5 linked regions of the Cricetulus griseus genome follow. The protein of the gene in region 1 interacts with the protein of each later gene in a biochemical or structural test. Links are inferred from orthologs where the notes say so. Each region holds a gene or a part of one and is shown in the gene's direction. Other genes may lie near its edges. The genes, in order: Anapc11, Pttg1, Ube2k, Ube2c and Ube2s.

Region 1 (5,673 bases):
AGCAAAGGCCAAGAGAAAAACCAAGGGAAGCTGTTCATAGAGCAGACAGCTCAAAGGGCCCACTGATTTGGGGAGCTGTGACCCAAGCCCCTCCCCCAAAGGCAGATTCTGGCTCACCTTTCCCTCTCCTCCTACTCAAGCCTGCTGCAAAGTCTGAAGTCAAATGCGCCATGGAGACTGCCCTGACCTCAGGCAGGCTGGGAGTTGGAGAGGGAACCCAGAGTGTGGGGCTACTTCGGCCGCAGGCACACAGCGGGAAGTGAAGTTCACCAAAAGCGGTTTCCAGTGGATGCCAGAAACCACCTTAAAAAAAGTGTGGAGACACTGTGAGTGCTCACTGGCCTTGCTCTATGCTCCCTGACAAGGCCAAATGGCGGGGCTCTGAGAAAGGGAACCCAGAAAGGCCCAGCACCCATGACCCAAAACTAACTCCTAAAAACCTGCTCTGTTAACTCTAATTGCATTTGAGGGCCAGAAGAAAGACAGAGAGAGGGAGAGAGGATAGAGATGGGGGGGGGGGGAGAGAGAGACAGACAGACAGACAGACAGACAGACAGAAAAAAAGACTTCAACCAAAGGTATGAGAACAATGCCCCTGGTAAGACCCAGGAAAGGTCAGTCTGGAAGACACACAGCCACCATTCACCCCTGTGCCTTCAGACATGTGGGGGTGGGGAGAGTTTTCCTTCTCATAAGCTTACTACTACAGGCACAAAGCCTGAGAAGCTAGCACCCTCGGTCACACAGGGACCGGACTTGTGGCCAGTCTGTGCCCGTTAGAAACTGTAAGCCTTGCAGACGGCAGGTGCTCGTGACGTTAGCAGACAAGAGCCACTCTGGGGGCACACCAGGCTGCCTTCCAAGCAGCCTGACCTATCAGTCACATTCAAACCCCAGGGGATACTACTTTTTGTGAGGGCAGCGGCTGGCCCTTGGGCAGCCTGGGGGAGCACAGGCTCTGATCAGAAGGGATTCTGTGTGTGGGGATAAGCATGCGGACGGCTCTGGTCTCTTACCTGAATATCTGCGTCTGACACTCCAAAGTCAAGGTTTGACACCAACAGTTTTCCGCCGGTCTCCACGCCGGCTCCACCCCCGAAGCCGCTGTCGAACAGATCGTGCTGCCATTTGTCTGGAAGTTGTTTCGGCTGAAGGGAAAGAGAGGTTCGTGAGCGACCTCGTCTCGGGCGCCCCGATCCCTCCCCGGCACTCACACTCTCTCTCTCACGGCGGCCCGAGAGCCCGGAGGAGACGACCCCCACGCCCGCCGCTCCGCCGCCACGAGGCGGGACCGGACCGGACAAAGCGTCCCGGAAGATCCCGGCCTGTGACCGGGGCCTCGCTCACCGCGCGGCGTCGCCCCCGCCCACCCTCCGTTCCGTTCCGTTCCCGCGGTTCCCGCAGGACGCCCGCCCGCCCGCCTCAGGGCGCCGGGAGCCCGCCCCGCCGGCGCCGCGCCTCCCGTGCTCACCCTGCTGTAAGGAGCCGGCCGGTTCCTGCCGCCGGCGGCGGCGCCGCGAGAGATGGCGGGCCGGTTCCTCAGAGGCCCGCCGCCTCGGTTCACCCGCGCGGCCGCCTGCACCGCCCCGCCGCGGCCGCCCTGGGCGCCGGCCCTGCCACGGCCCCTGCCTCCGCCGCGGCCGCCTCGCTGGCTCCGGTTCAGCTTGATAATATCGTCCAAAGACATGTCCATTTTGTCGGCCATGGCGGGCGCGGAATCGGGCCTCAGATCGAGCCCGCGCGTCAGCACGTCGCTAGGTCACTTCCGGAGCTTCCCCTGGTCTTCCGGCGTCGCGGCCCCCGAAGCTGCCCCTGATTGGCCTCGGCGCGCGCGGAGAGCGGAGGGCGCCTGCGCTGCGCTCAGGAGGACGGCCCGCGCGAGTGTGTGGCGCCCGGCGCGGCGCGGTCGTTTTTATACCTCCCGCGCTCCTGCAACGGAAGGGCGGGGCGCCGCGAGATTAGGTGGAGTGGGCGAGGCGTGGGCGGGGCCTGGCCTGGGATCCGCCCTGCGCAGGCCGGAAGGCGCCGGATCGAGTTCGGTCCGTCCGCCCGCCGAGTCCCTGAGCTGCGAGGCGGGGGGCCGATCTGTGGATCCGATTTGGGGTTTGTGGGCTCGAAGGGATGGTTTTTTAAAATTTAATTTTATTTAAATTTAGCAAGCTGATGGCTTGTCACGCGCGGGTTGTGAGTGAAAACCGAGGTGTTTTTCATGGATGCAGTGGTTTTTGTTTTTGTTTTCCTCCTTTGGTTTTGGGCGGATCTGCCTCCGCGGCGCTGAGGTTAAAGGCGTGAGCCAGCCTGGCCCGCTACCTGGGTGCACAGCTCTAAAAACGACCTTCAACATAGCAAAACAACTTGGGAGCCTGGCTCCCTGGAGGCGCCTAGCACGCAGCTCCCCGCCTTAAATGCTCAAGTGCCGTCTGTGGTAGTAATACAGAGTAACTTTAGCCAGGAAACCCTCTTCCCTCAGGTCGCACGCTCTGCTGCCATGAAGGTGAAGATTAAGTGCTGGAATGGTGTGGCCACGTGGCTCTGGGTAGCCAACGATGAGAACTGTGGCATCTGCAGGATGGCGTTTAATGGCTGCTGTCCAGACTGTAAGTGCCCCCCCTCCCCCGTGCTCTCAGAACTTCGGCCAGCTCCACCAGCCTTGAAAACCTTGGGTTTCCCAGCACTAGGGAGGCAGAGGCAGGAGGATCTCCGAGATTCCAGGACAGCTAGGGCTACGCTGAGAAACCCTGTCTCGAAAAACTAAGAAAACCAGAAAATAAAACCGTGGGTTTTACTTTCCATTTCCTGAAGGAAAGTTGACAGAAAATAAACGAATTCTTCAAACTCACTTTTGTATAAAGACCCTATCCAGCATGGTGGCAAACATCTGTAATACCAGCATTTGGGAGCAGAAACAGGTAGCCTCTGAGTTGGAGGCTACATAATGAGAGTCTGTCTGTAAAAACAAAGAAAAGCAAATAAACAAAAACAACACTTTTGTTTTTGCCAAGGCATGGTGGCACAGACAGAGGCAAGAGGAGGCTTGAGTTTGAAGCTTGCCTGGGATACATTGTGATGATTGGTCATTCTCTTAATTCCTCAAAATGCTACTTCCAGTTTGAATTTTCTCCAAGCAAAGCAGAACAAATGAGGATACCCCTGCCCAGCACACTGAAGTTCAGACAGCAGTTTCCATACTTTAAGTTGATGCTTATAAACTATGAGCAACTTAAGCCCCGTGTCTCACAAAGCTGCTCTAGCATCCTCGTTCCAGCATCTTTCCCCAAATGTCTTGTTATTGGGGTTTGAGCCATTCTTGACATCTCAGGACTCTCAGCTCTCTGTTCTAAATACTTCTTACTATTCTTGTTTTCCAGGCATTTGAGCTTTATGAATTTAATGTTTTTCAGAATGCAAAAGGTCTTTATTTATTTATTTATTTATTTATTTATTTAGAGACAGGTTCTCAGTATGTAACCCTGGCTAGATTGAAACTCATTATGTAGATCAAAGGTCACAGAGATGCCTGCCTCTGCATCCAGAGTGCTGGGATTAAAGGTATGAACCAATGTGATCTCCCAGCCTGGTTTATCAGCCCAGAGTTAATCATCTTGATGCAATTAAAGAGCTGTGACTTGACTTTTTTTATTAATTTATATTTTACATTCGAATCCTAGTTCCCCCTTCTGCTCCTCCCACTCCCCCCCCATCTGCTCCTTGGAGAGGGTAAATCCTCCCCTAGGAAGTCTACTAAGTCTCCCCTATCATCTTCTTGAGGCAGGACCAAGGCACCTCTCCACCCCCACACCCCTGTGTCTAGGCTGGGCAAGCTATCTCTCTATAGAGAATGGGCTCCACTGAGTCAGTTTGTGTATTAGATTAGCTCTTGGACCCACTGCCACTGGCCTCATATTTGTCATTTGTCTTTTTTTTTTTTTTTTTTTTTTTTGAGACAGGATTTCAGTATGTAACCCTGGCTAGCTTGAAACTCACTATGTAGATCAGTCTGGTCTCAAGATAAAAGAGATCCGCCTGCGTCTGCATCCAGAGTGCTGGGATTAAAGGCGTGTACAGCTCAGATCACCTAACCTGGTTTATTGGCTAAGAGTTAATTATCTTGATGTAATCAAGATAATTATCTTGATGTAATTAAAGAGTCTCTTTTCCTTTTCTTTTTTGATTTTTAAGACAGGGTTTCTTAGAGTCCTGTGCCACCACTGCCCAGCAAGTGTGAGTTTCTTAGGAATTCATTGATTTTTCTGGTTTAAGTTTTTATTTATAACATTTGTGATTAGTAACTGAACACACAGTTCTAGTTTTTATTTTCAACAGAACACTTGTAGATTTTTGTTGTTTTTTGTTGTTGTTTTTAAACAATTTTTTAAAGATTTTATTTATTTATTATGTATACAACATTCTGCTTCCATGTATATCTGCACACCAGAAGAGGGCATCAGATCTCATTTTGGATGGTTGTGAGCCACCATGTGGGTGCTGGGAATTGAACTCAGGACCTCTGGAAGAGCAGCCAGTGTAACCTCTGAGCCATCTCTCCAGCCCCAATTGCTGTTGTTTTTTGAGACAGGGTTTCTTTATGTAGCTTTGGCTGTCCTGGAAGTATCTCTGTAGACCAGACTGGACTCAACTCACAGAGGGCCACCTGCCTTTGCTTCCAAGTGCTGGGATTAAAGGTGTGTGCTACCACTGCCTGTCACAAATGTAGGTTTATTAAGGAAAAATAAGAAGGAACTCTCAAGAGTGTGAAGGCTAAAGGGAGGGAATACTCTTCATCATTCAATTAATTTCTCATTTGATGGTACTGGGTATTGAGCACCGGGCCTAGCATGTGCTGTGCAAGTTCTCTACCACTGAGCTGTATTCCCAGCCCATTTTATTTTATTTTATTTTATTTTATTTTTGAGACTAAAGGCGTGTGCTACCACTGCCTGGTTAGAAGGAATCTTTATTTAACAGAGCCACAAAGAGTATAGGAGTCAGAGGACAATGGCTTGTTTGTAGCTTCTGTAGCATTAGACTGTTAACTTGTAAAAACTTTCAGGAGGTTTTCCAGCCACTCCCACCTTCAGGCAAAGGGTGGAAGTTAAATCTGTAGATTGAAGGTGACTCCATTGTCCCCAGAGCTACCCAGTCTTACCTGGGCATAAATGACCCACACATGGGGCTGCAGAACACAGTCTGGATTACCCCATCTAGGTCTGTGACAAAAGGGATGACCAGAAAGCATGTCTAGGCACTTAGTGTCTCATATGTGTGAGGTAAACTCAGGCCTGTTGGCCGTGTAGAGTGGGAGACTTAGTCCAGCTCATAGCTGGTTCAAGTGAGAGGGAGTTGACTTTAATGTGCCCAGCGCTGATAGGCCCAGTGTGTTTTCTTGATAGATTCTGTAAGCACCAGATTTCTCACAGATTAAACTCCTGTGAAAATTAAGTTAGCAAGGCCTGTAATAAATCTGTTTCAGGTCCCAAGGGGCTTTAAGGTAAAGCAGTCTTGTCAAGAGGTATTTTAATTAATTAGAAAAATAATTTCATCAGGGCACTGCCAAACTCTGAGCATGAGTCATTCTCAGTGCACACCATACTCATCAAGTACTCTGGCTTGTCGCCGTAGGGACATCTTGAGCATAGGGCAGCACCTTCCTCCCTCCACAGGACCACCCACAGA
Region 2 (5,815 bases), about 75 Mb from region 1:
TGCTGAGTCTCGGAACCCTAACTTACCCAGTCCGGCCGCAGGCCACGCCAAAGCAGCCGCCGCGAACGAAGTAATCCGGTAATGTTTACTTCCGGGTTCCCTGTCTTCGTCCGGCAGCCCAGCGATAACTTCCGGAAGGACGACACATGCGCACTCTCAAGTGCTTGGAGATTTTTTTTTTTTAAACAAACAAGACCGCGGTCTGTGCAAGTAGTTCGTTGTGCACCCTGCAGGGAGAATGGTGGCAGTGCAGCTTTGTGCCCCCCGCAGGGTTGAACCCTTGTTCCTTCTAGAATTTTAGCAAAAATGTTTACTGAAAAAAACCAAGAAGGTAGGCATAATGGCCCACGCCTTTAATCCCAGCAGAGATAGGCAGATCTTTGAATTCCTGGCCAGTGACATAATAAGATCCTATCTCAAACAAACAAATTTAAATAGTCCCCCATAAGACAGAAAACATTAAACAAATTACTGGAAAATAGATTTTAGTGGAATTTCTTTCTTTCTTTTTAAATCATTGTTTTATTTTAGATGTATGAGTTTTCACATCATTGGCGTCAGATCCCTAAACCACAGGTCCTCTGCAGGAACAGCAAGCTCTCTGAGCTATTCCCTGGAAAAATTTCTTTGTGCTGTCTTGTGGTTATTTACGATTCCCCACATGAATTCCTCTTCAAATATAGATGAATATAGCTAACATCCCTGCCTCAGTCGAAGAGCCCAAAGTTATAGATTGTGGAGATTTAATTAGCCAGGCCAAAGCCAGAATGCTTTTCCAGAGGAATTACAGAACTTTCTGGACAAGAAGGAGTAATTGTCCCCCAGGTCTGAGTTCTCAAGAAGATTCTAGAGATACCAAGAAGGTAGAGGTCATAGCTGGTGAGTGTTTTTTGCAAAGCTGGATTAGAAGAAACTTGTATTAGCTAAGGACTCAGCATTCTACACGAGGGTAGTTTACCAACCAAAAGGGTATATTACTCCCCAGTAACAGGTGGGAATCACAGGGCTCAGCTAGGGACATCATCACTAAGAAAACAAATGGCCCTTTAAAGACACTGTGGTTATGTAATTTACTTGCAGTGGGACCTGGGCATAACCATGTTTCCTGTTGGTGAGAAAGGGAGAAAAACCTCTCAAGGAATTAGAGAATATCCATGTGGAAGCTGTGAGAATTTATGCAGATTTCTTTTAGAAACCAAAACTTTTGTGTGCTAGTGATTTAATATGAAGAAGCAGCATTTAGAAGGAGATGCAAGGAGAAAGCAGATTAAGGGAATAACAGGATTAGGGCAGAGGAAGGACAGTAAAGGTGTAAGTCCTTAGCTAATAAAAGGGAGTCCTGCATTTCAGAGTGTTACAAACCTCTCTCTGAAACATTGAGAAAACTTTTCAAAATAAAGGTACATTCCTCAAATTTTATCAGCACCATTTTTTTTTTTTTTTTTTTTTTTTTTTTTTTTGTTGTTGTTGTTGTTGTTCAAGACAGGGTTTCCCTGTGTAGCTCTGGCTGTCATGGAACTTGTTCTGTAGACCAGGCTGACCTCAAACTCACAGAGATCCACCCACCTCTGCCTCCTCAGTTCTGGGATTAAAGGTGTGAGCTAACACTGACTTTGGTCTACAGAGCTAAACTAGTTCCAGGACAGCTCGGGCTGTTGCACAGAGAAACCCATCACCCAGACTGGGTCACATGAAACCCTGTTATAAAAAAAAAAAAAAAAAAAAAAAAAAAAGTCTTACAAGTTTAAAGTAGCGAAACGACGTTTTTGTTATTGGACCAATGCTTCCTCACAGGTCCACACTGTGGATAACAAAAAGTCCATCAGGAGTTTTGAGCAATGTATGACCCTAGTTTTTTAATTTCTGGGAGAGAGAGAGAGAGACGCTGGAGGGGGGCGGTAACTAAAAACTTCGGTTGGTCTCATTGGTTGTCAGACTCTAGGCCCCGCCTCCTCTCGCATGGTCCAATTGAAGCGCGAGTTGTGTTTTAAACCGCGGAGTGCGGTGTCGTTGGTGGCGCAGTCTTGGGTGAGTTTAGTTGCTGTGTGAGGGTGTTGTGCGTGAGCTCCGGGTGGCTAGGGGCAGACTGGAGACCGAAGCAGGGTCGGGATCTGAACCTCACTCGGCCCCGAGTCCCTGGGCGCTCTTGACGTGCTTGACCCGCGGCGACGCTGTTTTAATTTAAATTTTTTTCTCCCCTGCCTCCCTCTTCAAGGTCTCAAGCAGCCCCGGCTGGTCTCGAACTTGTTATGTTCTTGAGACCAACCCTGAATATCCGAACCTCGTGCCTTCTCCTCCCTAGCGCTGCGGTTACAGCCGGGAGACAGTTTTGATGGGTGCCAACTTCACTTGCCTTCTCTTTAGGAGTTTAGTATTTCTGACTCTGAAGGTTTTAAGGTTCTTAAATTGAAGGTTTAAGATTTAGTTTAATTCTTATTTTTTTGTGCACATGTGTCCTGGGTAGACTTTGGTCTCCGTTGCCGCTTAGCTCTTCATGCCTTCCCCAATAGGTCTCTCCTCTAGAGTAATCCAGGATGGCTACGCTGATCTTTATTGATAAGGATAATGAAGAACCAGGCAGCCGTTTGGCATCCAAGGATGGGTTGAAGCTGGCGTCTGGTGGTAAGTATTGGCTGGCTTCAAATATACAGGTGTTGGGAGTGGATGATGGTTGTGGTCTAGAGACCATAGCATTTAGTGTACTTTGTGGTTGATTAGAGTCAGGTTTCATATATTTTCATGCTTATTATCTTTTTAACTTTAGAAAAGGTGTCATGTAGTTCAGACTGGCCTCTACTTCCCTTTATAACCTAGAGAGATCTTGAACTTCTGAGCCTTCTGCCCCCACCTGCCCAGTGCAGTGATTATAGGCATGGTCACCATGCCTGGTTTATGCAATGCTGTGGATTGAACTCGGGGCTTCTCAAATGCTAGGCAAGCACTCTACATACTAATCAAGTCCCCAGGCTCTATGCTTAATCTATTTGTTGAAGCAGAAACCCCCACCCCCATGTAGCTTTAACTGGATTGAAACTTGCTATGTAGATCAGGCTGGCCTTGAACTCAGAGATCCACTTGTCCTCTGCCTCCTCAAGTGCTAGAATTAAAGACACATGCCTGGCTTCATGATTATTGTCTTTTTTTTTCCCCCCCAAGACAGGGTTTCTCAGTAACAATCCTGGCTGTCCTGGTACTTGATTTGTAGACCAGGCTGGGCTTGAACTCACAGATCCACCTGCCTCTGTCTCCTGAGTTCTGGGATTAAAGGTGTGTGCCACCATGCCTGGTTGTCAGATTATTGTTTCTGTCAAGGTTTCTCTATGTAGCTTTGGAGCCTGTCCTGGAACTCAGTCTGTAGACCAGGCTGGCCCTGAACTCACAGAGAGATCTGCCTGCCTCCCGAGTGATGGGATCAAAGGCGTGTGCCACCACTGCCCGGCTTCATCTTACTGTCTTACTGAGGTTATTTAACAGTGTGCTAAAATGCCAAAAACAAAGCATGGGTTTGTGAGTGAGAACTGGGTCAAGTTGAGGTGTTTATATGGCCTAATCTTTAAGAACACCATATTTACTTACATATTTGTATATGTGTGGGGGCATTCACACATGTTCCATGGTGTGCCTGTGGGAGTCAGTTCTCCTTACACTTTGTGGGGGCTGGGGATTGAACTCAGGCAGTCAGGTTTGGCAGACTTTATTTATTCTCAGGATTATACTTTTTCTCAATAGTCAAAGCCTCAGATGGGAAATTGCAGATCTCAGCGCCACAAGTTGGCAAAGTGTTCAATGCTCCAGTCTTGCCTAAAGCCAGCAGAAAAGCTTTGGGAACTGTCAACAGGGTTACAGAAAAGCCAGTGAAGATCAATAGACCCCTCAAACAGAAGCAACCAACTTTGACTGTGAAAAAGGTGAGTTCGGGATAGGAAGATGGGGGGTGTGTTCATGCTTTAGCACCTAAAAAAAAAAAATTATTATTTCGTATGTGCATTAATGTGCATGTGTGTGGGCACCCGAGGACACCAGAAGAGGGCATTGGGTGCTTTGGAACTGGAAGTACAGGCAGTTAGTTGTGAGCTGCCTTACATGGGTGCTAGGAACTGAATCCAGCTCCTTTGGAAAAGCAGCAGGTGCTCTTAACCATTGAGCCATCGCAAGCCCCGCTGTAGTACTTCTGATGCTTAAAAATGGACTTCTAGGTCTTCTACCTGGCTTTCTTCCAAGTAGGAGATAAATAGCGGTCCATAAACAAACGAGCAGAGGAGAATCACACTGTGTACTGCTCCTGGTTGCTCAGCACCCTTGAGATTGTAACTAATGCCTCAGCTCTCCTTAACAAGTTTCAGGAAGCAGCTGGTTAGAAGCCACCAGCAGGTGTGTGAAGTACTCAGCTGGGTTTGATAGACACCTGCAATCCTAACACTTGGGAAGCTGAAGCTGGAGGATGGGCTGGTTGGAGGCCAGCCTGAGCTACAGCCCCACCTCCAAGTCTGGCACACACAAATGTATGAGATAAGATCCAGAGCACCCAGGTTTCTGTTTTGGCCTACTGCTATTGTCAGCCTGGTATTCTTCAGATGTTTTATGTTTTGCTGCTGCTTAAGCCCATATATTTAAGGGAACATAAACTTCTTAATATTAGCCAGGCAAATGATTAAGGTAACAGTGGCAGAAAAATCATACTTTTATAAGGTAAAAATGACTCCCAGGATTGGCTACTATTCTGGGGTGCCTCAAGCCTATCTTCTCTACTGTTAGGTTTGAACAGTCGAGTTGATTAACTTAACTTAAAAAAAATACTTAGTTTGTATGTGTGGATGTTTGCCTGTGTGGTATATGAGTGTACCATGTGCCTGAGGAGGAGATAAAGGAACATTGATTCCTTTGAGCTGGAGTTACAGATAGCTTGAGCCACCCTGTGGGTGCTGGGAACTGAACCTGGATCCTCTGTAGGAGGATTAAATGCTCTTAACCACTGAGTCACCCATCTCTCCAGCTCCTTAGCTTTTGTATCTGTGTAGCGCAGGGCCTGCTCATGTGATGGCATGCATTTCAAGGTCGGTGGACAACTTCCAGGAGTCACTTCTCTTCTTGTCTTTTGACTGAATCCTGAAAACCAAGGATCAGAACACAGAATTGACAAATTTTAAAGTGAAATCATCATTTGAAGAGGCCCTCCAACCTCACTTCTATTCTCACAGGTGCTTATTCTCTTGGGTTTTTCTAGACCATTGAGAAGGCTCCTAAGACACAACAAGTCTCTGTTCCTGCTTCTGATGACGCCTACCCAGAAATAGAAAAGTTCTTCCCCTTCAATCCTCTAGGTAAGGTCTTTGTATGGTGGAAATGCCCTTGGCTTGAGATTCTCTTAGACTCTAATGTCATGTGACTGTAATGTATTGCTCCAGACTCTGGGACTATCTGAATAAACAGACTTGTTCAGGTGGAATCACTTGCCAGGGTATCACCTTCCGGTCAGGGGGAGAATGGGAGCAAAGATGTTGAAGAAAATCAGAAGCTCAAGGTCATCATTATGTGAGTTCAAGGCCAACCTGGTCTACACAGCTATGTGAGCTCCAGGATAGCCAGGGCTACATAAAGAGACCATGTCTCAAAACGGTGTACCATTTGATATCGCCTCTGATGTCATCAGAAAGGGCCAAGTGTAGCTGGGCTTGGTGGTGCACGCCTTTAATCCCAGGCAGAGGCAGGCAGATCTCTGAGTTCGAGACCAACCAGGGCTGTGTAGAGAGACCCTGTCTCAAAAAAAGAAAAGGCCAAGTCTAAAGTAATATAAGAGAAATTTCCAAAGCAACAT
Region 3 (4,929 bases), on another chromosome or scaffold:
GCTGGGAACTGAACCTGAGTCCTCTGGAAGAGCAGTCACTGCTCTTAACAGCTGAGCTATTTTTCTAGCCCCAAACATAATTTTTAAAAAGAAGTAATTTAGTTACGGGAGAGAGGTCTTAGTGGCCTCTTTTTTTTTTTTTTTTTTTTAAATGAATTTGGCCTTTTGGTTGTATGTATGTGTGAGGCCATAGATGTTGAAACCTCTATACCTGTAATTAAAGACAGATGGAAGCTGCCATGGAGTCTGGGAACTGTACTTGTGTCTTCTAATGAGCAGCAAGGCCCTTAATCACCGAACCATCTCTCCAGCCACTGAAATTCCTCAAAAATTAAAATCAGAGTGATACACTCTTTCCGTGTTTTTGTGGTAATGGAAAGACAGATATAAATATTTAAGAGCTAAGTGTGGTTATATGTGACTTAATCTTTATTTCAGAGCTTATTATATGGGTATGGTTTCTGTGTGAAGGTCATAGGATATCAGTATGGATTCTGGTCTCTCATCAAACTTTCAACTGAGTTCTGGGGATGAACTTCAGTCTTGAGGCTGGTGTCATGAGTGTTTTTATCCACTTAGACATCTTATCAACTTCTGTGCTAAAATTTAGTATTACAGCTCTTGGTGGAAAATTAACATTGATGCTCTTAGGAAATTGAACACCTAGGTCTAGGTGGGGGGAGGAAAAAGAAAACATGGTTTGTTTTGTCAGCTAGGATATAGAACTATGTAGCTGTTTTTAAAGGTTTTGTTTTAGGACAGCATCTGTGTAGCTGAGGTGCTAAAACTGTGGGCCAAGCTGGTCTTGAACTCTTGCCTGCCTCTGCCTACAGTGATCTTTAGAGTAAAGGCTAGTACTACCCACCTTTGTGGTTGTTTTGTTTTGTTTTGTTTTCGAGACAGGGTTTCTCTGTGTATCTTTGGAGTCTATCCTGGCACTTGGCTCTGGAGACCAGGCTGGCCTCTGCCTCCTGAGTGCTAGGACTAAAGGCGTGCGCCACTAATGTCCGGCAATCCAGCTGTGTTTTCAAAGCTTTTAAAAGAACTCTGTGTCTTAAATGCTAGTTTAGCAGGTCAGCCTGTTTTTTGGTGTTTGCTGCTGTTGTCTGAGACACGTCTCAGTGTAACTCACAACCCTTTATGTAGGGACCTAAACTTAGGTTCTCTGCCAAAGCAGTACACATGCATAACTGTGAACCATCTCTCCAACCCCAAGTGATGATACTTTAAACAAAAATTTGTCCTATTTTGGAATATAACAGACTTATTTTGGAACTTCTAAAGGGTACTTTATTTGCTTGTTTTATTTAGCGTGTTATTAAAAGAGGTGGCTGGAGAGGTGGGTCAGTGGTTAAAGGCATTACTGCTCTTTGAAGGACCCAAGTTGAATTTCCAATCCCCATGTTGGATGACATACAATTGTGTGTAGTTCCAGCTGGAGGGGATCAGCTGCTTCTGGCTTCTGTAGGCACCTGTACTTATATGCACATAAATGAATATTCTTACAATTCAAAACAATAAAACTTTCAAAATCCCCATGTTAATATTAATAACTTTAATTATCTCTTTACTAAGAAATATGGGTAAGGGACTGGAGAGGCTGCTTAGTGGGTAAGAGCATGCGTTCCTGCAGAGGACTTGGCTTTGGTTCCTAGCACCCAAACAGCAGTTTATGATATCTGTAACTCGGAGTTCTAGGGGATCCAGAACCCTCTTCTGACCTTCTTGGGCATCAGGCACTCAGGTGCACACACATACATGGAGACAAAACACTCATACACTTAAAACCTAAAATATTCTGTTTAAGAAGAGAATGAATTATAAATGGAACCATTAGATAAAGCTTACAAGATAGGTAAGAGTAACAAAAAGAAAAAGTGAAGTCAGATAAGAATACAGTGATTTAAATTATCGAAGAAATAGGCTCATTGTAAGAAAAAAATGGCAATTATACACACATTAGTTAACTCTTATTTAAATTCAGAAAACATACACTTTGTTTAGGTCGTTCAGCACCCCCTTTAAGTGGTATGTTTTCCTATTTTGAAATTTAGGGCAGCAGCAATGACTCTGCGCACGGTATTATTGTCATTGCAAGCACTGTTGGCAGCTGCAGAACCAGATGACCCCCAAGATGCAGTAGTAGCAAATCAGGTAAGAAGGAAGTTTTTGAAAGACTTTCTTAGACCTGTGTATATGGATTTTAATATTTGATGTCAGCATATGAACATTCTATATTGGTACTAAATTTGGAAATGGTTTCATTGGATACATGACAGATGCTTTTCCCTTATGTATGATTGAATTCCATAGTGAGCACCTGTGTAGATTCTACAGTTAGCATTTACCACATGCACTTTATCATTTGTGCACTTTTGTAACCCTCTTTCTATACCTTACTGGCTTCTTCCTGGTGGTGATCATAATAACCTCCCACCACAGAAGTGGAGCTGATGGTAGTGGCATTGCAATGGTTTTCATGGGTGTTGAATGGAGAACTTTTTCCTTTTCTTTAATGCCTCTAAGGGTAAGGTAAGGTACATTCACACTGGCTGGTTTGGGCAATCTCATTTTATAGGAACAGAGTCATAACCATGTGTTTATTTTGATATCCAGTCACACTGTCTGTGGTTTGAAAGGTTTAAATTGTTAAAATCTATGTTTTAGTTCACCAACCTCTACTTTAAAGTATTCTGATTTACTGAGCATTTTTATTGTTAAACATCTCTCAATTTATGAAATACTTTCCTCTTCTCTCCCTATTTTTAAAGTTGATTCCCTGTCTCTGTCTCTCTAAGACATGGTTTATCTGTGTAACAGTCCTCCTGGCTGGCTGTTCTTGAAAATACAAAGATCCACTTGCCTCTGCCTTTTTGGCCATTGTTGTTCACTTTTTTTTTTTTTTTTTCCTTCCTTTTCGAGACAGGGTTTCTCTGTGTAGCTTTGAAGCCTATCCTGGCACTCGCTCTGGAGACCAGGCTGGCCTCGAACTCAGAGATCTCCCTGCCTCTGCCTCCTGAGTGCTGGTACTAAAGGCGTGCGCCACCAGTGCCCGGCCTGTTAATCACTTTTAATGAGAGCTATTGGCTCCTACTGTAGTTCCCCTTCCATTGTATGCACTCCCTGGATGATCAAAGCACCGTGCTTGACCTCTGAACCCCAGATCCTGCCTGTGTGGAGGTGTACTCTAATCCCAGCCATTGGCAGGCAGACACAGGTGGACCTCTGTGAGTTCATGGTCAGCCTGCTGTACTAAGTAAATTCCAGACCAGACAGAGTTAAAAAGTAAGACCCTGTTTCAAAACTAACAACCCAAATCAACTGTTATTCACTCATGACCTAACACTTACATTTCAGAGGTTTTCCATGATTTAAGCTATTGAACATGTTTTAACTCATAATGTTATTCGAATTCATGAATTTTTGGGATTGTAATCATTTTAATTTTTATACTGTTTTCCTTGTTTCTCCTTTGGGAAACATTTCTTATCGAATATCCTTATATTTTTTAGAACTGTCCCTGTGTATGTGTGCTTGCGAACATACTTGCTTGATGTCTAAGCGTGGGCATAGGTACCTCACAGCAGCCATGTTACCTAAGTTTCAGGCTTCAAACTGTTCTTGTATTTGTTTTTTTCCTTTGAGATAGGGTTTCTCTTTGTAGCTCAAATTGTCCTGGAACTTGCTTTGTAGATCAGGCTGGCCTCAAAGTCACAGATCCACCTATTTCTGACTCCTGAGTGTTGGGATTAAAGGTGTATGCCACCACTGCCAGGCTTTTAGTTATCAAATTCAACTTGTCAGGCTTATGCGGTGTCCTTAGCTGCTGAACTATCTTCCCGGCCCAAATTTCTTTATCCTTAAGTTCTTTAAGAACAAAACAAAAGGACTTATTTTTAAAATTATATATATATGTGTGTCTTTGGGTATGAGCATTTGAGTGCCAGTACCTGTTGAGGTCTAAATAAGGTAATATATCCTTGATTTTGGCCACCTAATATTGGTGCTGGGAAGAGACACCTCTTCAGGCTTCCCTTCTCTCTTCCTTCTGCTTGAAGATCTGCTTATTCTTTTTTATGCGTGCTTCCTTAGTTCCATTGATGGACTTAAAGTGCTTGGAATTAGGGCTTTTCGCAGTTTGCACATATGTGCTATTCATTAATAATTTGGTAGCAGACATCTTGTCTTCAGAAATTTAGCACTGATTTTCCTACAGATTTAGATGTAACATCAAAGCTGACTTTTTTTTTAAGATTTTATTTATTATGTGTACAATATTCTGCTTCCATGTATATGTGCACACCGGAAGAGGGCACCAGATCTCATAACGGATGGTTGTGAGCCACCATGTGGTTGCTGGGAATTGAACTCAGGACCTCTGGAAGAGCAGTTGGCACTCTTAACCTCTGAGCCATCTCTTCAGCCCCCAAAGCTGACTTTTTAACATCTAAAATAACTAATAACTTTGCTTGTTTGGTTACAAAGTATTGAAATACATATCTTTTTTTTTTTTTTTTTTTTTGAGACATGGTTTCTCTGTGTATCCCTGGCTGTTCTGAAACTAACTCAATAGACCATGCTGTCCTTGAACTCAAAGAAATCTGCCTGCCTCTGCCGCATTATATAGTAGGTGCTGGTAACTGAACTTCTGACTTTTGACTCAGTTAACAATACCATTCAGTGTTCCCCATAGCTCTGCCCAAATGAGTCCCATCTTAGATATAAATGTATTTTCTTTAGTTGAGATGCTATGTTAACTGTCACTGCATTGTCATGCTAATCGTTTTTTCCCCCTCCATGTAGTACAAACAAAATCCTGAAATGTTCAAGCAGACAGCTCGACTTTGGGCACATGTGTATGCTGGAGCACCAGTTTCTAGTCCAGAATACACCAAAAAAATAGAAAACCTGTGTGCTATGGGCTTTGAT
Region 4 (5,648 bases), on another chromosome or scaffold:
TGAGGAGGCAGTGTCGTTCAGGGACAGTCTGAGCAACTTTTTTTCCTTAGTCACTGGTATCTGCTCCTCCCCCTGTAAAGTTTCTGTTTGAGTAAAGACACTCTCAAGGGGCCATCCCCCATGCTTTCCTCTGTACTCTGGCCAGGTAATCTGTAAACTTCATCCTGAGTCTGTCTAGTAGCAGGCTTTACACAATAAGAGTGTTTCTGAACTGCTGAGAAATGACTCAGAGGCTTTAATCACTCCCCCTTGCCTCCAGGCCTACCTTCTCATTGAGGAAGACATCCGAGACTTGGCTGCCAGTGATGATTACAGGTAAAACCAAAGGGGCTCCTCCCTATACTCCCGTCTGCCTCAGTAGGCACGCACACGGATGAGGCCATCACCCTCCCATTAACATCCCTACAATGTCTCCCCCAGAGGATGCTTGGACCTGAAGTTGGAGGAGCTGAAATCCTTTGTCCTTCCCCCCTGGATGGTTGAAAAGATGCGGAAGTATATGGAGACACTACGGACAGAAAATGAGCATCGTGCTGCTGAAGCGCCACCCCAGACCTGAGCCAGGTGTTCTGGCTACTACACTTGGCAGCCTGCCTCCAAGACCCTCTTTCCCCGACCGGCTGAGGCCATCCTGGGGACTGGGTCTAATTGGATCTTAGCAGCATTAAGCTGTACATGAGCTAGTTTGTAGTGACTCACTGAAGAGCACCCAGACTGGCATGTGGTTCTGTGTTTTTAAAGTTGTTGGACTAAGAAGCAATTAAACAGTTTGTAATAAACACAAATGGTGAGCCTGCTGTGATGCCTGCCTTAGGGCTGATAGAACAAGGGCTGAAGTACTAGGCACCTCTGAAAAGGACCACCTACCTGCCCACCCCCATCTTACTAGGAAAAATTTGGAGGGTTTTTTGTTGTTGTTTGTTTTTGGAGACAGGGTTTCTCTGTGTAGCAGCCCTAGCTGTCCTGGAGCTAGCTCTGTAGATCAGGCTGGCCTCAAATTCATAGAGATCCGCCTGCCTCTGCCTCTCAAAGTGCTGAGATGAAAGGTGTGAGCCACTACCACCTGGCAAAACCTGTTCTTTGCCAGTCTCCCCTGACCTTGTTCCAGTTTAGGAGTGTTGTACAATGTGATGGCAAACCCCATGGGGGTTTGATGACCTACCAAAGGAAAAATGGATTTGCACTTTATTATCCCAAAGTTACAGGCTAACACCCTGACTTACAGAGGTAGCACAGCAAACCTACTGGAGAACCGTAATATGAATTACATTTGGGAAGAGGGGGGTGTTTGGGACAGGGTCTCTGTGTGTAATCCTGGCTGACATCGAACTCAGAGATCCACCTGCCTCTGCCTCCAGAGTGCTGGGATTAAAGATGTTTTTGTTTTCTTGAGTCCCATATAGACCAGGTTAGCCTAGAGGTGGCCTTCAATTCCTGACCTGCAGGTCTCCACCTTCCAAGGGATTACAGGCATGCACCACCTGAACCCACGTTTTCTAATAAATAGGGAGTCGGCTCCAACTTGCAGCCTTAGGTTCACCTACCTTCCTGGGCTTTTTAAAAGTTCTTGGGACCCAAACAGAAGGGACTTAACAGGGTGAGGGGAAAAGATTTCCAGCTTGAGGGAGACAAAAATGTCAAGCTCTTAGACACCCTTTTCCGGAAGAGATGATGCCTGCTGGGTGTGTGCCTGAAGGCCCAAGGGTTTGGACAGAGGTCCAATCACTGCCGGACATGCGGTGCACTCTTTCGTATAACCTCATCACTTAGGAAGTGAAGGCCAGGGGGGGATCAAGAAGTCAAGTTCATACCTGGCTGCGCAGCCTAATTACAGGACAGCGACAGGAGTCCGAGTCCCGAAAAAACCCGCGGGGGGAGGGGTGCACGTGGGCGATTCCTTGACCCTTTAATGGTTGGCGTCGTCCAAAGGCCACCAATCCGCTACCAGTTCGTTAGTTAATGGCAGCCTTTTCCTCCAATCGGCTGCCTGGAGTTAGTCCCCCGCCGTCCAATCGCAGCGCGTAACTGGGTGGCCCAGCGGTTGCGCAGAAGCAGAGCGCTCCGGGGCGTCCCATTGGCTGGATCAAACCCAAGCGAGTCTGTGATTGGCTGGCGCTGCGGGAGGGTTGCGATTCAAACGCGGGCGGCGGCCCGCAGCCCCGCAGTTGCTCTTTCGTCTCCGCACTTCTGCTACGGTGCCAGCGCTCCCGGGATGGCCTCGCAAAACCGCGACCCAGCCGCCGCCAGCGTCGCAGCCGTTCGCAAGGGAGCCGAGCCCAGCGGGGGCGCAGCCCGGGGCCCTGTGGGCAAGAGGTGAGTGGTGCGGAGGTCACCCCGGAGCCTCACCCCCAGGAGCCGGTGAGACTTGGGACACATGAGGGGCACCAGAAACGCAGGACATGAAAGGCTGGTGGCGCTGCCAGTAGACTCTCAGAAGACGCCCTAGGAGCGCTGAGGTCAACATGCAGCAGGAGGTTCACCCGGTCCTCCTGTGCATGACGAGTGTGTCCCAGCTTAGCCTGCCTTTGAAGGAGGGACGAGGCCTCCATGACAGCTCCTCAGGATAGTTGGGTGGGAGGTGATGTAGCACCTCGGCAGCACCCATGCCCCCAAATGACCCTTACTTCTCTTTGCAGGCTACAGCAAGAGCTGATGACCCTCATGGTAAGATCGATTGGCCCACCATCCCATCCCCCACCCAGTTATCCGGAGCCTTCTTTCCTACTTCAGGCTCCTTGCTAATCCGATGGGTGTAATTTACTCTCTTGTGGGCAATCCTTTGAACACCCACCCTTACTTGATTACAGCAGCCACCTTCGCCATCATAGGAGGCTTATCTGGGCTCACCCCTATCTTCCTTTGGGCCCCAGCTCTAACCTCACCCATCCCCACCCTTCTTGAAATTTCTAGTCCCATCAGACCTTGGAATTCCTTCTTCTGGTGGTCCTTTGCTGCATTACCCCAAATGTCAATCCACAAGTTCTAATGCCATACTAAACATTTAATTCAGTCCGGGCTGTGGTCGCCTTTAATCCCAGCACTCACAGGAGACAGAGGCAGGCAGATCTTTGAGTTCAAGGCCAGCTTGGTCTACAGATGGAGTTCCAGGACAGGCTCCAAACAAACAAATTGAATACCATGTGCTTTCCTGTACCAACCCTTCCTCCTAGCCTAGTGAGCAACCTGTGATTTGGCTCTAGCTGCTCTGTTTAGGACCTGACTATATCGGGCAGGCTCACCCAGTGATCGACTTTGCTATGCCTGAAAGCGCACTCTGGAATCCTGCAGTTGGGTGTTTTCTCCCCCCAGATGTCTGGTGACAAAGGGATTTCCGCCTTCCCTGAATCAGACAACCTGTTCAAATGGGTGGGGACCATCCATGGAGCAGCCGGCACAGTGAGTATGCTGTGGGAGCGGGTGTCACTTTGAGTGTGGCAGAGGAGGTGATCTCCAAGTGCTAGGCTGGCTTCAGTTCCCTGGGCCTGCACACATGCCTGAGCCCTGTGGCCATTTGCTTTGAGTGCCATGGGAAGGGCTCTTTCCTCTAGACCATGGTGCAGTGGAGGGGGGCCACAAGCAGCTGCCCTTTGCTGCAGATCTGGATTTAAGTCAGAGATTGGATCTGAGCCAACCTTGACTAAGATACTAATTGAACTATTCTGGTGGCCCTCAGGATGCCAAGTCTCAATCTTTTGACCGAAAGGTCACTGATAACCCCCTGATAGGAAGAAGGTACTAGGACCAACTTCACACATTGTCTGCTGGCCGGATTCAGACTCTTATTTGGGGAGTGAATGAATGTGGGGCTGGAGGCGTGGGATGGGAGGGTGAGCAGGGGACTTAACTCTGCCCTTATTTCCCCAAATGCCAGGTATATGAAGACCTGAGGTATAAACTCTCACTAGAGTTCCCCAGTGGCTACCCTTACAACGCACCCACCGTCAAGTTCCTCACACCCTGCTACCACCCCAACGTGGACACCCAGGGCAACATCTGCCTGGACATCCTCAAGGATAAGTGGTCCGCACTGTATGATGTCAGGACCATCCTGCTGTCCATCCAGAGTCTGCTAGGAGGTAACTCCAGAGACCACTCACTCCTGCACTCCAGGGCTGTTGGTCACGGCCCCGAGTCAGCCTCTATCTGTCCCCCTGACTATTCTCACTCCATCCACAGAACCCAACATCGAGAGCCCTTTGAACACACATGCTGCTGAGCTCTGGAAAAACCCCACAGGTAGGTCCTTCTCTGGCCTCCAAAGGGACTCTGGGGGTCTGCACTGGACTCCGTCTGCATCTGCCCTGCTGCTGATCCCATACTCAAACAGATAAAGGGATCTTTGGATAGAATGTTTCTCTGATCCTGGTGGTGGTACACGAAGAGGCAGGTGGATCTGAGTTCAGTTCGAGGCCAGCCTGGTCTGCAGAGAGCTCCAGGACAGTCAGGGCTACACAGAGAAACCCTGTCTCCTGTTCCTTTCCTGGACTCGGGGAACAAGTCTGTAAAGGAGCCAACTAGAGAGCAACTGGGAGAGGGGGGTCTACTTTGCAGGGAGAATGCCCTGCCAGCCTCCCCATCTATCCCATCACTCGCCTGAAACCTGCTGCTCTCTTCCAGCATTTAAGAAGTACCTGCAGGAAACCTATTCAAAGCAGGTCTGCAGTCAAGAAGACCCTTGACCAAGATGTCCAGCCTCTCTTTTGTGTCGTCTTTTTTTTCTTAGATGGTCTGTCCTTTCCTTGGTTTCTAAGCTGTGGTGTTATTTTTGTTTTATTTGTTTTTTTAAATTAAGTCTATTTGAGCCCTTACAATGTATATTAAATAAATACACATTGATTGTTTTTGTACAGATTGCTGCCTCAGAGTTGATTATTTTTGTATAAATTGCTGTCTCAGAGTTATCCTCAGCCAGAGGTACTCGGAACAAGAGGGGGGCTAACTTAACATCTGGATATTGGCCTGTTCCTTACAGGGTTGGAAGCAGCTGATAGACAATGGGGCCCAGTGGTCACTCACTAGGATGCTACCTTGTGTCTTAGTTTATCATGCCGCATACATTCTTCATGTATTTCCCCAAAGGTATAGATCCCTGGCAGAGAGCATGTTTAAGACCTGTGAAGTCGTGAGTTCAATTCCAGCACCAGAAATAATGTCCATTTGTGAGGAGTTACATACAGCATGTACAGTGACTGTTGGGTTACAGATGAGGTTAAACCAGACCCTTTAGCTCAGGAATCTGTAAGAGAGAGGGAGCACTAGACACCCACTTTCTAACATGTTAAATGGGAGGAGGTGTTCAGGTTGCCCTACAGCAGGCCAAAGCTCCGGAAAAGACTGAGCTCTGGACCCAAGTCTCCCACAGATGGTTCCTGCTCCATCTCCATGAGGTGACAAACCTTGCCTAAGTTGTCAGCTCTGCAAGCAGCTGGTTGTACAGGCCTGTGGAAAGAGACAGGTCTGGTCTGTTAACTACTGTTAGCCCGTGCTCAGTCCTGGGACCTTCCCTACAGCCACATGTGAAACTAGTTCAGAAACTAGTATTCTTAGTGTTTCTCTTGGGCATAGAGCTTTATCAATCAAAATATGGACAAACCTGCTTGGGGTCTTGTTAAAATACGACTTCCCTTGGGAGGGGCAGCAGGAGGTTG
Region 5 (5,663 bases), on another chromosome or scaffold:
GACCCCCAGACCCCCTCCACTTCAGTGGGGACACCCCAGGCCCCCTCCACTTCAGTGGGGACACCCCAGGCCCCCTCCACTTCAGTGGGGACCCCCCAGACCCCTCCACCTTCAGTGGGGACACCCCAGGCCCCCTCCACCTTCAGTGGGGACACCCCAGGCCCCTTCAGTCCACCTTCTCCACCTTCAGTGGGCCCCCTCCACCTTCAGTGGGGACCCCCCAGACCCCCTCCCAGTCCACCTTCAGTGGGGACCCCCCAGACCCCCTCCACCCCCCAGACCCCTCCACCTTCAGTGGGGACCCCCCCCCCCTCCACCTTCAGTGGGACCCCCTCCACCCCCCCAGACCCCCTCCACGTTCAGTGGGGACCCCCCAGACCCCCTCCACCTTCAGTGGGGACCCCCCCAGGCCCCCTCCACGTTCAGTGGGGACACCCCAGGCCCCCTCCACGTTCAGTGGGGACCCCCCCAGACCCCTCCACCTTCAGTGGGGACACCCCAGGCCCCCTCCACCTTCAGTGGGGACACCCCAGGCCCCCTCCACCTTCAGTGGGGACACCCCAGGCCCCCTCCATGTTCAGTGGGGATCCCCCAGACCCCCTGGGCCACACCCAGGGGCGGCCACGCCCTGGCTCTCAGCACCCTGCTCCCCTCAACCGCCCGTGGAGGCCAAGGTCAGGCTCCAGCGCCCTCTCCTGCTTGCGGGCGGCCCCCAAGGCCTGCCCCGGGGCCCAGGCAACCGAGTGACTGTCCCCAAACTGCCACACGGGGGGGGGGGCCTGGCCAAGGGCCAAAGGCAAAGCCACGCCCTGAACAACAGGACGGTGGCACTTCCCTCCCTGCTCCCCCCTGGCTGGCATCCCGGGATTCACAGACACAAGCCACACCCCAGGGGCGCGGGAAGTGCGAGCCTTCACAGGCTTGCTCACACACAACATGGGGGCCGCGCCACAAAATGGCGCCGCGCGGACAGCCACGCGCCCGCTTCCGGCGGCCACCCACCTCACCCCCTTCCCTCCACCGCACCCCGGCCGGGACGCCAGCCAACGCGCGCGCGACATTTGCATAGCGAGAAGACACGGAGGGATTTCATTGGCCAGCGGCGGAGTCCATCACGCTAAGCTCCCTTCCCGTTGGGAGCTTTCCAGTCCTGCCCCGCCCCCCAAGAGGTGGGGGGAAGGGAGAGAGAAAAAAAAAAAAATCACCACCGGCCCTCCCTATTGGTCAGTGGCCCGTCCGTCACTCGTTTTAAAACCCCAGCTAAGTCCCGCCTCCCCTCGCCCCGCCCCGTCCTCTCTGGCGAGCCGACCGTTAGCCGCGTGCGCGACTTCCTCCAGGCCGGAGTGCGCGCGCGCGCACGCGCGGGCGCGAGCGCGAGCGCGAGAAAGCGCGCGCACGCTCGGGGCGGGGGCGGGGAGGGTGGGGGAACCGAGGGGCGGAGCGGCGTCTCATTCAAACGGCCCAATCAGCGGCCTCGTCGCCGCCGAGGGGGCGGGGCCGGCGCCCCCCGGTTCTCCTCCGGGCTCTGGGCTTGCAGCCTCTTGCTTCTCCCCCGCGGGGGGAATGGCCTCCTCGGGCGACGTGAGCCCTCATTGGACGGCTCGGCGCCACACGCCCCGGGCTGGAACTTCTCCCGCGCGCCCTCCCGACCCCATTCTGAGAGGAACGTGCGTGCGCGTTGACGTCCGCCCGCCGGGGCGCGCGGGGCGGGGCGGGCGGGGCTGGGGGGGGGACGGCCGGGGGCGGGGCCGGGGAGCGGGGGGGGCGGGCCCGCGAGCGGCTAAAAAACGCCGCGCCGGGCGCGCGGCCGGCTCAGTGCGGCCGGGCAGGCGTAACGTTGCGAGCTCCTCTGTAGCGGTTGTCGGAGTTGAGTCCGGGGGTGGGGGGAGCGGAGCGGGGCCTCGGGGGGCCTCGCTAGGGCCACAGCGGCCGGCAGTTGGGCCCCCCGCCCCGGCCGGCGGTTCGAGGAGTGCAGGCAAAGGGGGGCCGGGGGGACCCGCCCCCGGTCGGCCGAAGTCATGGTGAGCGGACGCGGGAGGCCCGGCTCGCCCGGCCCGGCCTGGCGGGGCGGTTGGGGACCTGGGCAGAGATGGGCGGCTGCGTCCCGTCCGGTCCGGTCCTGGGGGTGCTCCCTGCCGGATTCTGGGTGCTCTCCGAGGCGGCAGGGCGGGGAGTCGGCGCTGAGGCCTCCTTCCTGCGGGCGCTGCAGGAATGCGAGCGGGCGGGCGGCGGGCGGGCCTCGGAGCCTTGGGGAGCGCTGGGCCCCTTGCGGGCCCGCCCCTCGATGCTGTCGGGAGCCAGACATCCCGCCGCCATTTCTTCGTCCAGCGTTGTTTTTTTTTTTTTTTTTATTAATTTTTTTTCTTTTTCCTCTCTGGCGTGGTGTTGCCAGCTAAGTAGGGAACGGGCACAAGCTAGGCCTCAGGCCCACCTGGCGCCACTAATGGACCCACGCGCGTCTCAACGATCGGTCTGTGCGAGGCTTTTTTCTTTTTCTTTTTTTTTTTTTTTTTTCCATTTTTGAGTACGTGAAGCCCATTTCCCAGGCAGCCTCCCGGATCCGTGGGCCCGCCAGCCTGGGCGGGGGCAACGGCCAGAAGCAGCAGCAGCAGCACCCTGCGGGAGGGCCTAGTTAGCCTGCGATGATTGATTGATTGGCTGATTGACTGATTGATTGATTGATTGACTGACTGACTGACAGCCTGGGACCTGCAAGGTTACGATTCTGCCGTCCGCCGGATTTTTTTTTTTTTTTTAAATCCCAGACATTTCGGGCTGCTCATTTCTCCCTTTTCGCCCTTGCCCAGAACTCCAACGTAGAGAATCTGCCTCCGCACATCATCCGCCTCGTGTACAAGGAGGTGACAACGCTGACGGCCGACCCTCCGGATGGCATCAAAGTCTTCCCCAATGAGGAGGATCTCACGGACCTGCAAGTCACCATCGAGGGCCCAGGTGGGCGTGTGCGTGTGCGTGGGCGCCAAAGGCAGTGGCCACTTCTTTTCTGTCGTGTGACTGGAACAAACAGGATTCAAGGCTATCTCTCTGGTGGTGGCTGGTGACAAAGTGTGGGTAGGTCAGTCGCAGCGTTGTGCCCGTGAGTATCCGGCACATCGCAGATAACAACAAAAATATGGAGACGTCCCTGGTCACTGAGCGTGGAATGGAGCGTCTGCCTTGGCTTGGGCTAAGGCTGTCAAGTGTGACTTTGCGGGGCCCTGAGGATGCATAGGAATTAGAGATAGAAAGTGCCCCGGGTGATACAGATGATCTGAAACAGCTATTCAGCTGCCAGGTGTCTGGGCTCTGGAAGCATTGCAGGGCAAACAAGACTCAGCAATGTGAGGGAAACGGTTGTGTGAGATAAGATGTCACTTTTCATCTGAGTTCCTACAAAGTCAGGGTGTTTGAAGTGTGTGGTCCATAGTGCTGGGGTGTGGAGGGCATCTGCCCAGCTACTGTTGAGTAAGTGTAGAGCGTCAGTGATTACCATTTTCCACCCAAGTAAGGAGGTAAATGACAACACATCCCATGAGGATCTGGAAAGGCCTCGGAAATGGTTTGCAAGAAAAGTTGGTGGGTTGGGTCCTTTTGTCTTGAAGAGCTGGCATGTGCCTGAGACACTCACTTGGAAAAGAAAATGGATATCCAGATGTGTGGGCTGTATAATACAGTCAAGGTATAAAGGGGTGGTGCCTGTAGTACCTGGGAGACTGTTCTTTGTTGCCCTAATTTCCTCAGGCAGAGCCAAGGAAACTTGGGTGTTGAGATGTTGAAGGATGCTAGGAATCCTAACCTAGTTCCCTCCTCTGTTCCAGAGGGGACCCCCTATGCTGGAGGTCTGTTCCGGATGAAGCTCCTCCTGGGCAAAGACTTCCCTGCCTCCCCACCCAAGGGCTATTTCCTGACGAAGATCTTCCACCCAAATGTGGGTGCCAATGGTGAGATCTGTGTCAACGTGCTCAAGAGAGACTGGACGGCTGAGCTGGGCATCCGACATGTGCTGCTGGTGAGTTCAAGCCTTTTTGGAAAGTAGTGGAAGGGTTGCCCTGTGGCACCAAGTGCTGTCATGCAGTGTGGGTTTGTGTGATAGGGTGGTTTCATGGAAGGTAGTAGTGTGTGGGTTAGAGGCTTTTTGTTTATGTGTCATAGATTTCACCAGTAACCCAAACTACCCTTGGACTTGTGATCCTCCAAGCATATGGGTGAATAAGAAACTCCCCCAGAAGCTGGGCTTACAAGATTATGCCCACCCTACTCAACTAAGTAGAATGGGGTTTGTTGTGGTATGTTGTTGGGGGGTGTTCTAGGGTCTTTTTGTATGGTTTTTGTTTTGTTCTTTAACCTTGCTGGTGCAGCCATCACCACTATCTAATTCAGAATTGTTTTCCTGAGGTAGTGTTTTTAGCTGGGGTTGATTACACTGCCTGGGACGACCTTTTGTAATGTCAGGAGATAGCTTGGTTGTCAGTACCGCTGCTGGCATGTTGTGTGTGGGTCAGGAGACACTGATTTAGCATGTGTTGTGTATAGGGCTGTTCCACAGTTCCAGTCAGTCGGGGTCGGGATGGATACCTGGCCTAGGCCAGAGCTCCAAGGTCTCTAAAGGCCACTTAAAGTGGTTAGGTGGCCTGGTGCCTCCTTACCCCTGCCATTCCAGTGAGTCTCTGGGGCTGATGGTAATGAAGATAGAGAATTGGGGTTTCCTTTAGGGCACCTGGAAAGGATTAAGTTCCAAGGTAAACAACCCCATGTCAATTGAGCTTGGTCTGTCTCAGTGCTGGAATTGTTAGCTCTGGCTATGGGGTCTGCTTCTCAGCCTGTTAGGATAGGAAGCTGTGTCAAGGATGGCCAGGCCTCCAGTTTGGATGTGTAGTGGTAAGATCTGAGGGGGAGATCAATCCTGCATCCCTTTTCAACATCAGTAACGTCTACTAACTCTTGGGTGTGTCACAGAAGCACCTGTTAGCTATCACTAACTCGGGACTAACATTTATTTATGGAGCCTTCTGAACTAACATTTAGATAGACTGAACTGGATTAAATAGACACAAAATTCTTAAGGCCTGTGGTCAGCCTGGTGTTTTTTTCCCTCTTGGGTGTAATCTGTTCCTATGGCTCTGAACTTGGCAGCTTGGCCTTCCTGGTAAAGCCAGTGACCAACCACTATGGAAAACCAAATGAGTTCTCCAATCCTAGATGCCCTTAGTCCCAGTTACTACCTCTGAACTCATGCTCACCTGTAGAGGCAAGGTCAAAGCTACATTAGCTACCAGAAAATTGTCTGGGGCTGACAATGGTCTCCTGACGGAAGGGCCTCTGGCAACATCAGGCTGTATTTGCCAAGGCAGTGGTCCCTTGAAATGTTTGTAGCAACAGGAAAACAGCCTGTGGTGCTGACATGCATAAGAATGCTAGTAGGCTGGTTCTGGTCTTGAGAGAGATGATTTGTGGAGGCCATAAGTGTGGACAGCACCCCCTGACACTGGGCCCTTTCCCCACAGACCATCAAGTGCCTGCTGATCCACCCTAACCCAGAGTCTGCGCTCAATGAGGAGGCAGGCCGCCTGCTTTTGGAGAACTATGAAGAGTATGCTGCCCGGGCCCGTCTGCTCACAGAGATCCATGGGGGTGCTGGTGGCTCCAGCAGCGGGAGGGCTGAG

The links.
Region 2: of the proteins of Anapc11 (region 1) and Pttg1, one has a biochemical effect on the other in vitro, tested with the Homo sapiens proteins (3 studies listed by BioGRID). The link is inferred for Cricetulus griseus from reciprocal best matches to the Homo sapiens genes ANAPC11 and PTTG1.
Region 3: the proteins of Anapc11 (region 1) and Ube2k form a complex in vitro, tested with the Homo sapiens proteins (3 studies listed by BioGRID). The link is inferred for Cricetulus griseus from reciprocal best matches to the Homo sapiens genes ANAPC11 and UBE2K.
Region 4: the proteins of Anapc11 (region 1) and Ube2c form a complex in vitro, tested with the Homo sapiens proteins (66 studies listed by BioGRID). The link is inferred for Cricetulus griseus from reciprocal best matches to the Homo sapiens genes ANAPC11 and UBE2C.
Region 5: the proteins of Anapc11 (region 1) and Ube2s form a complex in vitro, tested with the Homo sapiens proteins (31 studies listed by BioGRID). The link is inferred for Cricetulus griseus from reciprocal best matches to the Homo sapiens genes ANAPC11 and UBE2S.

Annotation. Positions count from the first base shown.
Region 1 is NC_048600.1:133,092,070-133,097,742, forward strand, and holds the start of Anapc11 (anaphase-promoting complex subunit 11), read left to right. Parts: upstream 1-1,825; 5' UTR 1,826-1,962; intron 1,963-1,975; exon of another isoform or gene 1,976-2,119; intron 2,120-2,470; 5' UTR 2,471-2,488; coding exon 2,489-2,597; intron 2,598-5,673. Other genes in the region: Alyref (THO complex subunit 4), read right to left, coding at 1,017-1,148, 1,472-1,705. UniProt on the Homo sapiens protein: Together with the cullin protein ANAPC2, constitutes the catalytic component of the anaphase promoting complex/cyclosome (APC/C), a cell cycle-regulated E3 ubiquitin ligase that controls progression through mitosis and the G1 phase of the cell cycle.
Region 2 is NC_048600.1:58,114,504-58,120,318, reverse strand, and holds the start of Pttg1 (securin), read left to right. Parts: upstream 1-1,960; 5' UTR 1,961-2,028; intron 2,029-2,040; exon of another isoform or gene 2,041-2,510; 5' UTR 2,511-2,534; coding exon 2,535-2,622; intron 2,623-3,729; coding exon 3,730-3,908; intron 3,909-5,224; coding exon 5,225-5,321; intron 5,322-5,815. UniProt on the Homo sapiens protein: Regulatory protein, which plays a central role in chromosome stability, in the p53/TP53 pathway, and DNA repair. Probably acts by blocking the action of key proteins.
Region 3 is NW_023276807.1:132,627,771-132,632,699, forward strand, and holds part of Ube2k (ubiquitin-conjugating enzyme E2 K), read left to right. Parts: intron 1-2,054; coding exon 2,055-2,154; intron 2,155-4,803; coding exon 4,804-4,929. UniProt on the Homo sapiens protein: Accepts ubiquitin from the E1 complex and catalyzes its covalent attachment to other proteins. In vitro, in the presence or in the absence of BRCA1-BARD1 E3 ubiquitin-protein ligase complex, catalyzes the synthesis of 'Lys-48'-linked polyubiquitin chains.
Region 4 is NC_048599.1:14,655,079-14,660,726, reverse strand, and holds Ube2c (ubiquitin-conjugating enzyme E2 C), read left to right. Parts: upstream 1-2,145; 5' UTR 2,146-2,212; coding exon 2,213-2,313; intron 2,314-2,636; coding exon 2,637-2,664; intron 2,665-3,309; coding exon 3,310-3,396; intron 3,397-3,871; coding exon 3,872-4,076; intron 4,077-4,176; coding exon 4,177-4,236; intron 4,237-4,617; coding exon 4,618-4,679; 3' UTR 4,680-4,852; downstream 4,853-5,648. Other genes in the region: Dnttip1 (deoxynucleotidyltransferase terminal-interacting protein 1), read left to right, coding at 260-315, 421-559. UniProt on the Homo sapiens protein: Accepts ubiquitin from the E1 complex and catalyzes its covalent attachment to other proteins. In vitro catalyzes 'Lys-11'- and 'Lys-48'-linked polyubiquitination.
Region 5 is NC_048602.1:23,448,681-23,454,343, reverse strand, and holds the start of Ube2s (ubiquitin-conjugating enzyme E2 S), read left to right. Parts: upstream 1-1,811; 5' UTR 1,812-2,018; coding exon 2,019-2,021; intron 2,022-2,807; coding exon 2,808-2,955; intron 2,956-3,818; coding exon 3,819-4,009; intron 4,010-5,504; coding exon 5,505-5,663. Other genes in the region: extensin-like, read left to right, coding at 1-1,121. UniProt on the Homo sapiens protein: Accepts ubiquitin from the E1 complex and catalyzes its covalent attachment to other proteins. Catalyzes 'Lys-11'-linked polyubiquitination.